Linked DNA regions of Cricetulus griseus. The protein of the gene in region 1 interacts with the protein of each later gene in a pairwise test. Links are inferred from orthologs where the notes say so. Each region holds a gene or a part of one and is shown in the gene's direction. Other genes may lie near its edges.

Region 1 (4,089 bases):
ATATTGAAATAAGTATACACTTCAGGATAGTTTCAGTGCCTTGCTTCATGGTCTTCCCACAACAACTGTATGTCCATTTGATCAAAATATACTGATATTTAATTAAGGTGTTGGCTGCCCCAGCCCCAGCCCCTAGTCTTCCTCTCCAAACCTAGAGAGAGAAGGGACAATACACCATGCATTTATTTATCTTTTATTTACCTTTGCTTTAAAAGGCTGTGCGGACTGGAGAGAGAGAGAGAGAGAGAGAGAGAGAGAGAGAGAGAGAGAGAGAGAGAGAGAGAGAGAGAGAGAGAGAGAGACAGAGACAGAGAGAAAGAGAGAGAGAGAGAGAATAGAAAATGTTTACCCCTCTCCAACTGCATCCATGCACTCTTCCCTCTTCTGTACAGCTATGAAGCTACTACCTTCCACCCCAGAGGGCTCCACCAGTCAGTTCTTAGGCTGAAATCATGTCGAAGAATCTCTTATTTTATTTTTTAAATGCTCTTTATATTAGGACACAGCAAAGAAAGGTATCAGTAGAAGCTAATGAGAAAGTAGAGCGCACACACCAATCGTAATAATAAAAAGAAATAAAAAGAAGCTGCCCCGGCTGAGCACTCGATACACACAGTGAGGCAGGATAAACTTCTGCAGCACCTCTCGCAGAATCCGTCGGCCAAATTTATCGAATTGGCATGAGTTCTTCTTTGCAAAAACAAAATAGATCTGAGGTTAGAAAAACCAACAGCAATTCGCTCCGGTGTAGAGTGAGTTAAGTTAGTTATGGTAGGTATTTTTTCCCCTTTCTTTCTTTTCCCTTACTTTTTTTTTTTTTTTTTTTAAGCTTCTCGGGCGTGTGGGAGGGTAGGAATTAAAAGAATAAATACGGGAAAGCTGCGGCTCGCATGGGGCTTTTGCAGCCCGGCTGCAGCTTTGCCCACCGTGCTCCGGGCGTGCGCCCTGCCTACCTGCGGGCTGCGGCTCCGGAGGCCTCGCGTCGCCTCCCTCCTGATTGGGCAGCGGCCCCCCAATCAGATGCGCTCCTGGGCCGGTGGGACTGCATATGTAAAGCCCTACTTCATATTAATAAGCTCCAATCGGGGCTTTAAGTCCTTGATTAGGAGAGAGTGTGCGAGCCTCGGTCCCAACTGGCCGTGCCTATGGGCTTGTCACCGGGAGAACGCGCGTGTTAATTGCACCGGGCTGTGTCAAGGAAACTTTGATTTATAGGTGGGGTGCACAAATAATGGTTGCCGGGCGCACATGGATTCGGTAGAACTTTGCCTGCCTGAATCTTTTTCCCTGCACTACGAAGAAGAGTAGGTACCTTTTTTTTTCTTTCTTTTTGCAACTCGGCGTGGGGGGGGGGGCGGGTGGGGGTGCGTGTGTGCGGGAGCGTGGACAGGGCGGCGTGTGTGCACGCGGACCCACGTAGTGGCCTGGGTGTTTGGCGTGCGTGGGTGCTTGTTGGTGTCTGTCTGGTGCCTTTTGTGTGGAGGGTGATCTCCTAAATCAGTAAGTGGAGAATTGTTCTCTGACTACGGTGTTACCTTTGAGGCAGCCCTGTGACTGTCACTAAAACAGCTGGGTGACAGTCACTTCTCTTTCAGGTGCTAAGAATAGGCTCTGGGCACCAATGCTCAGTGAACTGTTAAAATGCATCTTTTACCCAGACCCATTTTCCTTAGGAAAGATGTTTTAAAATACAATATTCAGAATGATTTATACTACTGAGTGCTGCTTATGTATTTGCAGTTTGACAGATACTTGAAACTCCCTGTCACCCTTTACTGCGAGGAGTTAGAGGCAAAATTGTACATTTATTAATTCTCCTGCAGAGAACGATTTAGCAACTAGCCCAGTGCCGCTCAGAGCTAGGGTAATGGTATTTATGTGGTTAGCATTAAGTCAGTACTTAACTGGCAAATCAGTCCGTTAAGTAACATGAGATTGTCACACATTATAAATATTTAAAGGGGAGAGAACTGAAGAAGAAACATTAGTGACTTAAAAAAAAAATCTTCCCTTAAATAGGCAGTGTGCATGTCCTGGGTTTGGATTATGTATCATATTGTGTCCAGAAACATATAAAAAGAGCAGTATACTTCTTTAAATGCAGTTCAATCCTATTTATGAATACCTTCCTGGATAGTCTATATGTTTAGATTATTAAAGGTCCATGGGGAGTGAGTTGGAGTAGGGAAAGCAAACTGGGTATTCCCGTGTAAATGAATAGGTCATAAACTTAACTTCAACTCACTGTTTAGCTAGAATATCCCTCGATCACGAAGCTGTCAGTGGTCTCTTTTGCTTTCTGTTGAGTCAGTTAGATGGCTTTCGCATTACAGTAAACTGTTATAATTTTTAAAAGAGTGCTCTTGGCAAACCTTTCTCTTGATAGGTTGTGAAGGAAATAACAGAACTCTGGGCTCCTGGGCTGTGTGTTGGTGGTAGAAGTCCACTAACTGTCCTTAGTGGACTGTCCTTTCCTTTGCATCATAATTGAGAGATGAAAAGTGGCTAGCAGTCTCTCGTTGCCTGTGTGTGTTTGAGCGTGTGTGAGTGCACACACATGCACACACGCACACACTCTCACAGGAACTATTAGCTGAGACTGGGATCTGAAACATTGAGAGGCTGTCTCTGCATCTGTTTGAAACACTCGAGGGAAGAGCCAACCTTACAATGCTCAAGAATAAAAATGAAATACAAACAAAGGTAAGACTGCCCACACAAGTACAGTGAGAAGGTCGGTGCACCTGGGCTGTAGACTGGGAGAATGGTAATGTCAGTGAGAATGCCTTAAGCTCACCCAAATTCTGAACTTTGTTTCCTAAATAAATAATCAGAGCAAACTTTAAATATCCCTCCAAAGGGTTCATGGAAAAAGTAGTATCCTTGAATCTAACTTCTTATAGCTAGTTTGAATAATTAGTTAAAATAGGCTTCTTAGAGCAGACGTGTTTAAATGGAACCAGGGCACATTTCCTTTTGGCTTTGGCACAAGATTCAAACTAGCTCTTTCTATCTTTCTGTCTGTCTGTCTTTCTTTCTTCCTTCTTTCCTTCCTTTCTTTTTGGTTCAATTAAAAGTCATCTTTAAAAAATACAGATTTATTGTGTGGGTGCAGTTGTGATGTTTACGTGGTTCACTGGACAGACTGAAAGATCCAGGGCTGAGCAACGCATCTGCCTTTCTGTCTCAATTAATAAACCACAGAATTTATACATGCTATTAATATTCATAGTAATTGTGCCGGTTTCAACCCCATCACGTGTGTATACACTGAAATGAAACCTGAGTTATGCAGTTTCCAAGGAAAATATTGGACCATTTCTTCTTGGGAGGCTGTTAAAAAGATTCATGCAATTTATTGACCACCATTAAGAGATCTTAAAATGTTAACCTTTAACTATGTAAGTACATACATTTTTTTTTTATTTTAGGAAAGGCGCCAGCACTTTCAAGAACACAATGCTGTAAGGCTTGTTTCCTACTGAATAGCAGTAATAGCTGATAGCATAAATAGACGGAAATAATGTATCTGCTGGTTTTGACATATGTGTCTGTGTAATCATTCTAAATGAGTGCGCTCGTCACACGAATCCCTTTCAACCTCTGATTAAAATGTAACATTGACTACAGGATTATAGAGCGGACTTAATTTTACTGACTGTTTTAACAGTTGTCACAGCTGTTGGGAGAAGGCAATTGAAACACTCCAAAACAGACAAGAAGGGGAGGCAGCAGTTTAGGAAATTCCAGCTTGATTCTTGAAATCCAGACACTGAACATTTAGCAGTTTCATGTTTGTAAGGATCCCTGCTCAGAGCTATGCAAATTTTATTGTGTATGGTTTCCTGTGTTTCAGGGTGTTGATTTTTATTTTCCTCTCGGACTCATGTCTTCTCAGGAAAAGCTAACCTGAATTGAAATAGACTTCTTCCAAAGTGATACTATCATAGGGAAATGCAAAGAATAAAAATAAGAAAGAAACCTGTGTAGAATCATAGAAGCAACAGAAGCATAAATCGTAATAGATACTATGGGTACTATTTTTTTAAAGGGGAAAAAAATTAAGGAGCCTGCCTAAGTTCCTTTAGA
Region 2 (4,018 bases), on another chromosome or scaffold:
AAGGGGGAAATTGAAGGTGTCTTCGATTTTCTTACATTTCAGTGACCCTACATAACTGAAAGGGGAGTGTGTGTGGGGGGGAACAGAAAACCAAGAGGGAGAATGGAAGAGAGAGAGGTCCCGTACCAACTGGTGTGCTCTAATCCCCTCTCCTGACCAGTAAGGCTTACGCTCTTAAAGTGAGGGAGCTAATGGGTGTAAGAATTATCAAGTTAAGACACAAGTCGCATGGTTGACTAGAAAGAGGCCCCTGGTCTCATGTCTGTCTGACGTGAAAGGAGGCTCCGTGACAAATGCCAGCATTCAGGCTTTCTTCTATTTGTCAATAGTATCTTAGGATGGTTGGGAACAGGAACAGTTATCAGCTTTCTGCTTCTCAAAAGCATGAAAGGTTCTCACAGTAACAATCTTGTGATTATTGTGTTCCCAAGATTCAGCTACAAGTACATAACGTTTGCAGCCCCCCAGCTCCTTGATCCAAGCATCCCGGGCACAGTGGGTGGTTGATTGAATTAAACTGAGCATTATTGCCTGCTTCCACCAATGATTTTCAATTTTAGGGTGCATATGTATAGCCAGGAGATGGATTTCATTGAAACTCACACTCAGGCAGTTTGGCTGGAGCTGAAGGGAAGGTGTTTCAGACTGTTGGTGCGATGCTGAAGCTACTAGTATGGGTTTACACTTTTCAAGGTCTTAAAATGAGATCTCACTCTCCAAACATTATACAAAATGCAAGTTATACAAATTGTAATCGTTCCATAAAAGTTTACAAAGATTCCATAGAAATGGAATATTTTCTCTTTTAAGTACTTCTTCCTCCGATAAAGGGAATAAATTAGACATCGGAGTCCAATAGCAAGAGTTGGAACAGAGCCCTAACTTGCTTCCCCAGGTTCGCTACTCTCCTCTTTCCCAGGTAGGGGAAGGAGGGATAAAATGAGGAAGGAAGAGAGGGTCCACGATCTCCAGCGCTGAGAAGTTCCCCTTGGATTTCCAGTTTCTAAGGATTCTTTGCCCCTTTGAACTTCCGAGGTCATGAGCGCGCACATTCAAGCGCAATGGCGCGTCCCCCTCTGCGCCCTTGTCCTGGCGGAGGAGGCGGACGCGCTTGCGTGCGCGCTCAGTATAAATAAGTCCCAGGCGGCAGCCACTGGGCAGAACGGGCTGTAGGAGCCTCGGGCCATGGCGGGTGAGGACCACCCGTTGCAGGGCAGCATCCTCTACAATTTACTGATGAGCGCGAAGCAGAAGCACGCGGCTGCTCCAGTAGAGCCCAAGGTGCGCTTGGGGGTTCAGTGCTGGGGTTGTGCCTGCGGTGCTCAGTCCATCGGGGACGAGGAGGGACTGCCCGGAGGGCAAACCTCGTCCCTCCTGTACCGCTGCTGCCTTTGCGGGGAGAACCACCCGCGCCAGGGCAGCATCCTCTACTCTATGCTCACTAGCGCCAAGCAGTCAGGCTCAGGGACCCAGGCGTCCAGGGCGCGATTCGGAGCCCCGTGCTGGGGCTGTGCCTGCGGCAGCCCCGAACCCCTGGTGAGTAGAGAGGGGACACCGGCCAGGCGGGCAGCCTCGCTCCTGTACCGCTGTTGCTTCTGCGGAGAAGAGCACCCGAAGCAGGGCAGCATCTTGTACAGCTTGCTCACTAGCGCCAAGCAGACGCACGTGTCTCCGGAAGCGTCCGAGGCACGTCGCGGAGGCGAATGGTGGCAGCTGTCTTACTGTACGGAGAGTATGGATGACCCAGAGGGGCTGCAGAGCGCACAGGCCATGGCGTTCTTGTACCGCAGCTACGTGTGCGGTGAAGAGCAGCCCCAGCAGAGCAGCTTAGCCTGTGGCACACCCGGGAGCTCAGATCAACTGCCCCGGGCTCCGGAAGAGCAGCCTAGGGCCCTCTGGTGGGACGCCTCTTCTGGAGTGCAGCGTCCGTTGACTCTCAAGAATCCACAGGTGGTGTGCGAGGCAGCATCGGCTGGCCTGCTGAAGACACTGCGCTTTGTCAAGTACTTGCCCTGTTTCCAGATACTGCCCCTGGATCAGCAGCTGGTGCTGGTGCGGAGCTGTTGGGCGCCCCTACTCATGCTTGAGCTGGCCCAGGATCACCTGCACATCGAAATGATGGAGATCTCCGAACCTAGCGTACTGCAGAAGACGCTCACCACCAGGCAGCAGGAGACCCAGGGTGCTGAGCCCGCAGATCCCCTGGCCAAAGAGCAGCCACAGATGGTGTCCACTGCGGAGGCTGGACACCTGCCCTCGGCCGCCGCGATCCAAGCCATAAAGAGCTTCTTTCTCAAGTGCTGGAGTCTGAACATCGATACCAAGGAATATGCCTATCTGAAGGGGGCCGTGCTCTTTAACCCAGGTAAGCATGGCAGCCTTTTCCATTACCTCTCTAGGTCACAAAAGCAACACCCCTACACACAGGCACTTAGGAGTTTTCAGTGGCTGTAGGTGTGTTGGAGCCCACGTGAAGCCTCGTGACAGACTCTGCAAAGCTAATGATGAACACATCCCAAAGTGGGTGAGTTTCTGCCAGAAACTCGGTACTGGATGGGGTGGGTGAGGAGAAAGCCTTTTACTTGGAGCTCTACTTTTATTATCTTCGTGGGACATGGCTCTCTCTTCCTTGTTTAGCCGTCTCTGAGGTCCAAGAGCATAACTTAAAAACAAAGTTTTTGCTCTTTTCACACAAGTTCTTCTTAAGTTACTGTTTTCCAAATTTCCCTTTAAGAAGAGCTTGTGTTGGGTGCAGGGTGATTTGTCTTCCCAAGCTCCTCCCCTCTGAAGGTAATAGTTCAGCCCAGTCCAGATTCTGCAAGTCTGCAAATACAAGTGGCTCAGGTGATTCTTGAGGCCATCTGACAGTTTTCTCATTCTTTCGGCCAATTGTTATTCCTGCACTATTGAGATTCAAAGTGGAGACCAAGGTCTCAGCTTTCAGAAGTCGCTATTTCCAGTAGTTTCCCAATTGCCTTGACCCTGTTTCACATCCTTTGCCTCCCTTAACACACACACACACACACACACACACACACACACACACACACACACACACGTGTACACACACCTCATTCCCTCCCTCTTTCTCTCTCCGTCCCTCTCCCTCCCTCTCCTCCACCCTCTCTATCTCCTCCCTCATTCTTCCCATTCTTCCTCTATTTTTTTAGTTCTCTCTCAATGGGAATTTATCTTGCCAAAGTGTGTTTTTAAATAGTAATGCAACCACATTTGTGCACAATGTAACATCTGTAAAATGTGTGGCCTCTCTTTCCTGATTACCTTTCTGCATCCCCTTGTCTTTATGTTTATATATAACAAAGATACACAACGTTTATATTGGATATAGATATACAAATGGGTTTTAACATAAGGAGATAAGTAAAGGATAAGGAGATATGTAAACTGTGGAGTCCATCTGCCTTTTTTTCTGTCTTTACATTGAAGAGAAGTTTTGTGGGGGTGGAGAGGTAAAAGTAGGGGGGGAGTGGGACAGGAAGATGTGAGGAGTTGGAAAGGAGGACCAAACAAAACAGTGTGAATGAGATAGCCATAAGTAAACCTCTTAGTTTGTATCATAAAAAAGAATTTTTATTGCAAAGAAAAAAATAGTTACTTTAAGGAGAGGGCCAGGGACTGTGTTGTGAAATGTAATGGGTGCCTTCACAAAATGAAGCTTTGGCAAACCACAAGTCTGTGTAGACCTAGAGAAACTTTCTCAGTGGGATCAAACCTTTGGTATCAGGATAGAAATAGAATGCAGGATGTTACTACATGGGCTGTTGTAATCTGAATTATAATCTAGATAAGAAATGTTTCCATATTGTGTTGCTTTTTATGATTTATTATTTGCCTATAATAGGAATGTTTCTTTTCTATCAAGATTATTATTTTTAAAGCATGATGCCTTTAAAATAATCATGTGTTGAATTTTGTAGAAAAAGGAAGGAAAGTTATATCATCATTTAAACCAAATCTGTTTTGAAGTTGCTTTTGAATCATGTTACACTCTGTGATG

Evidence for each region. The genes of interacting proteins can lie anywhere in the genome.
Region 2: the proteins of Esrrg (region 1) and Nr0b1 interact in binary tests that used the Homo sapiens proteins (3 or more experiments, as listed by UniProt). The link is inferred for Cricetulus griseus from reciprocal best matches to the Homo sapiens genes ESRRG and NR0B1.

Annotation. Positions count from the first base shown.
Region 1 is NC_048598.1:6,843,991-6,848,079, reverse strand, and holds the start of Esrrg (estrogen-related receptor gamma), read left to right. Parts: upstream 1-1,248; coding exon 1,249-1,304; intron 1,305-4,089. UniProt on the Homo sapiens protein: Orphan receptor that acts as a transcription activator in the absence of bound ligand. Binds specifically to an estrogen response element and activates reporter genes controlled by estrogen response elements.
Region 2 is NC_048604.1:82,193,694-82,197,711, reverse strand, and holds the start of Nr0b1 (nuclear receptor subfamily 0 group B member 1), read left to right. Parts: upstream 1-1,185; coding exon 1,186-2,365; intron 2,366-4,018. UniProt on the Homo sapiens protein: Nuclear receptor that lacks a DNA-binding domain and acts as a corepressor that inhibits the transcriptional activity of other nuclear receptors through heterodimeric interactions.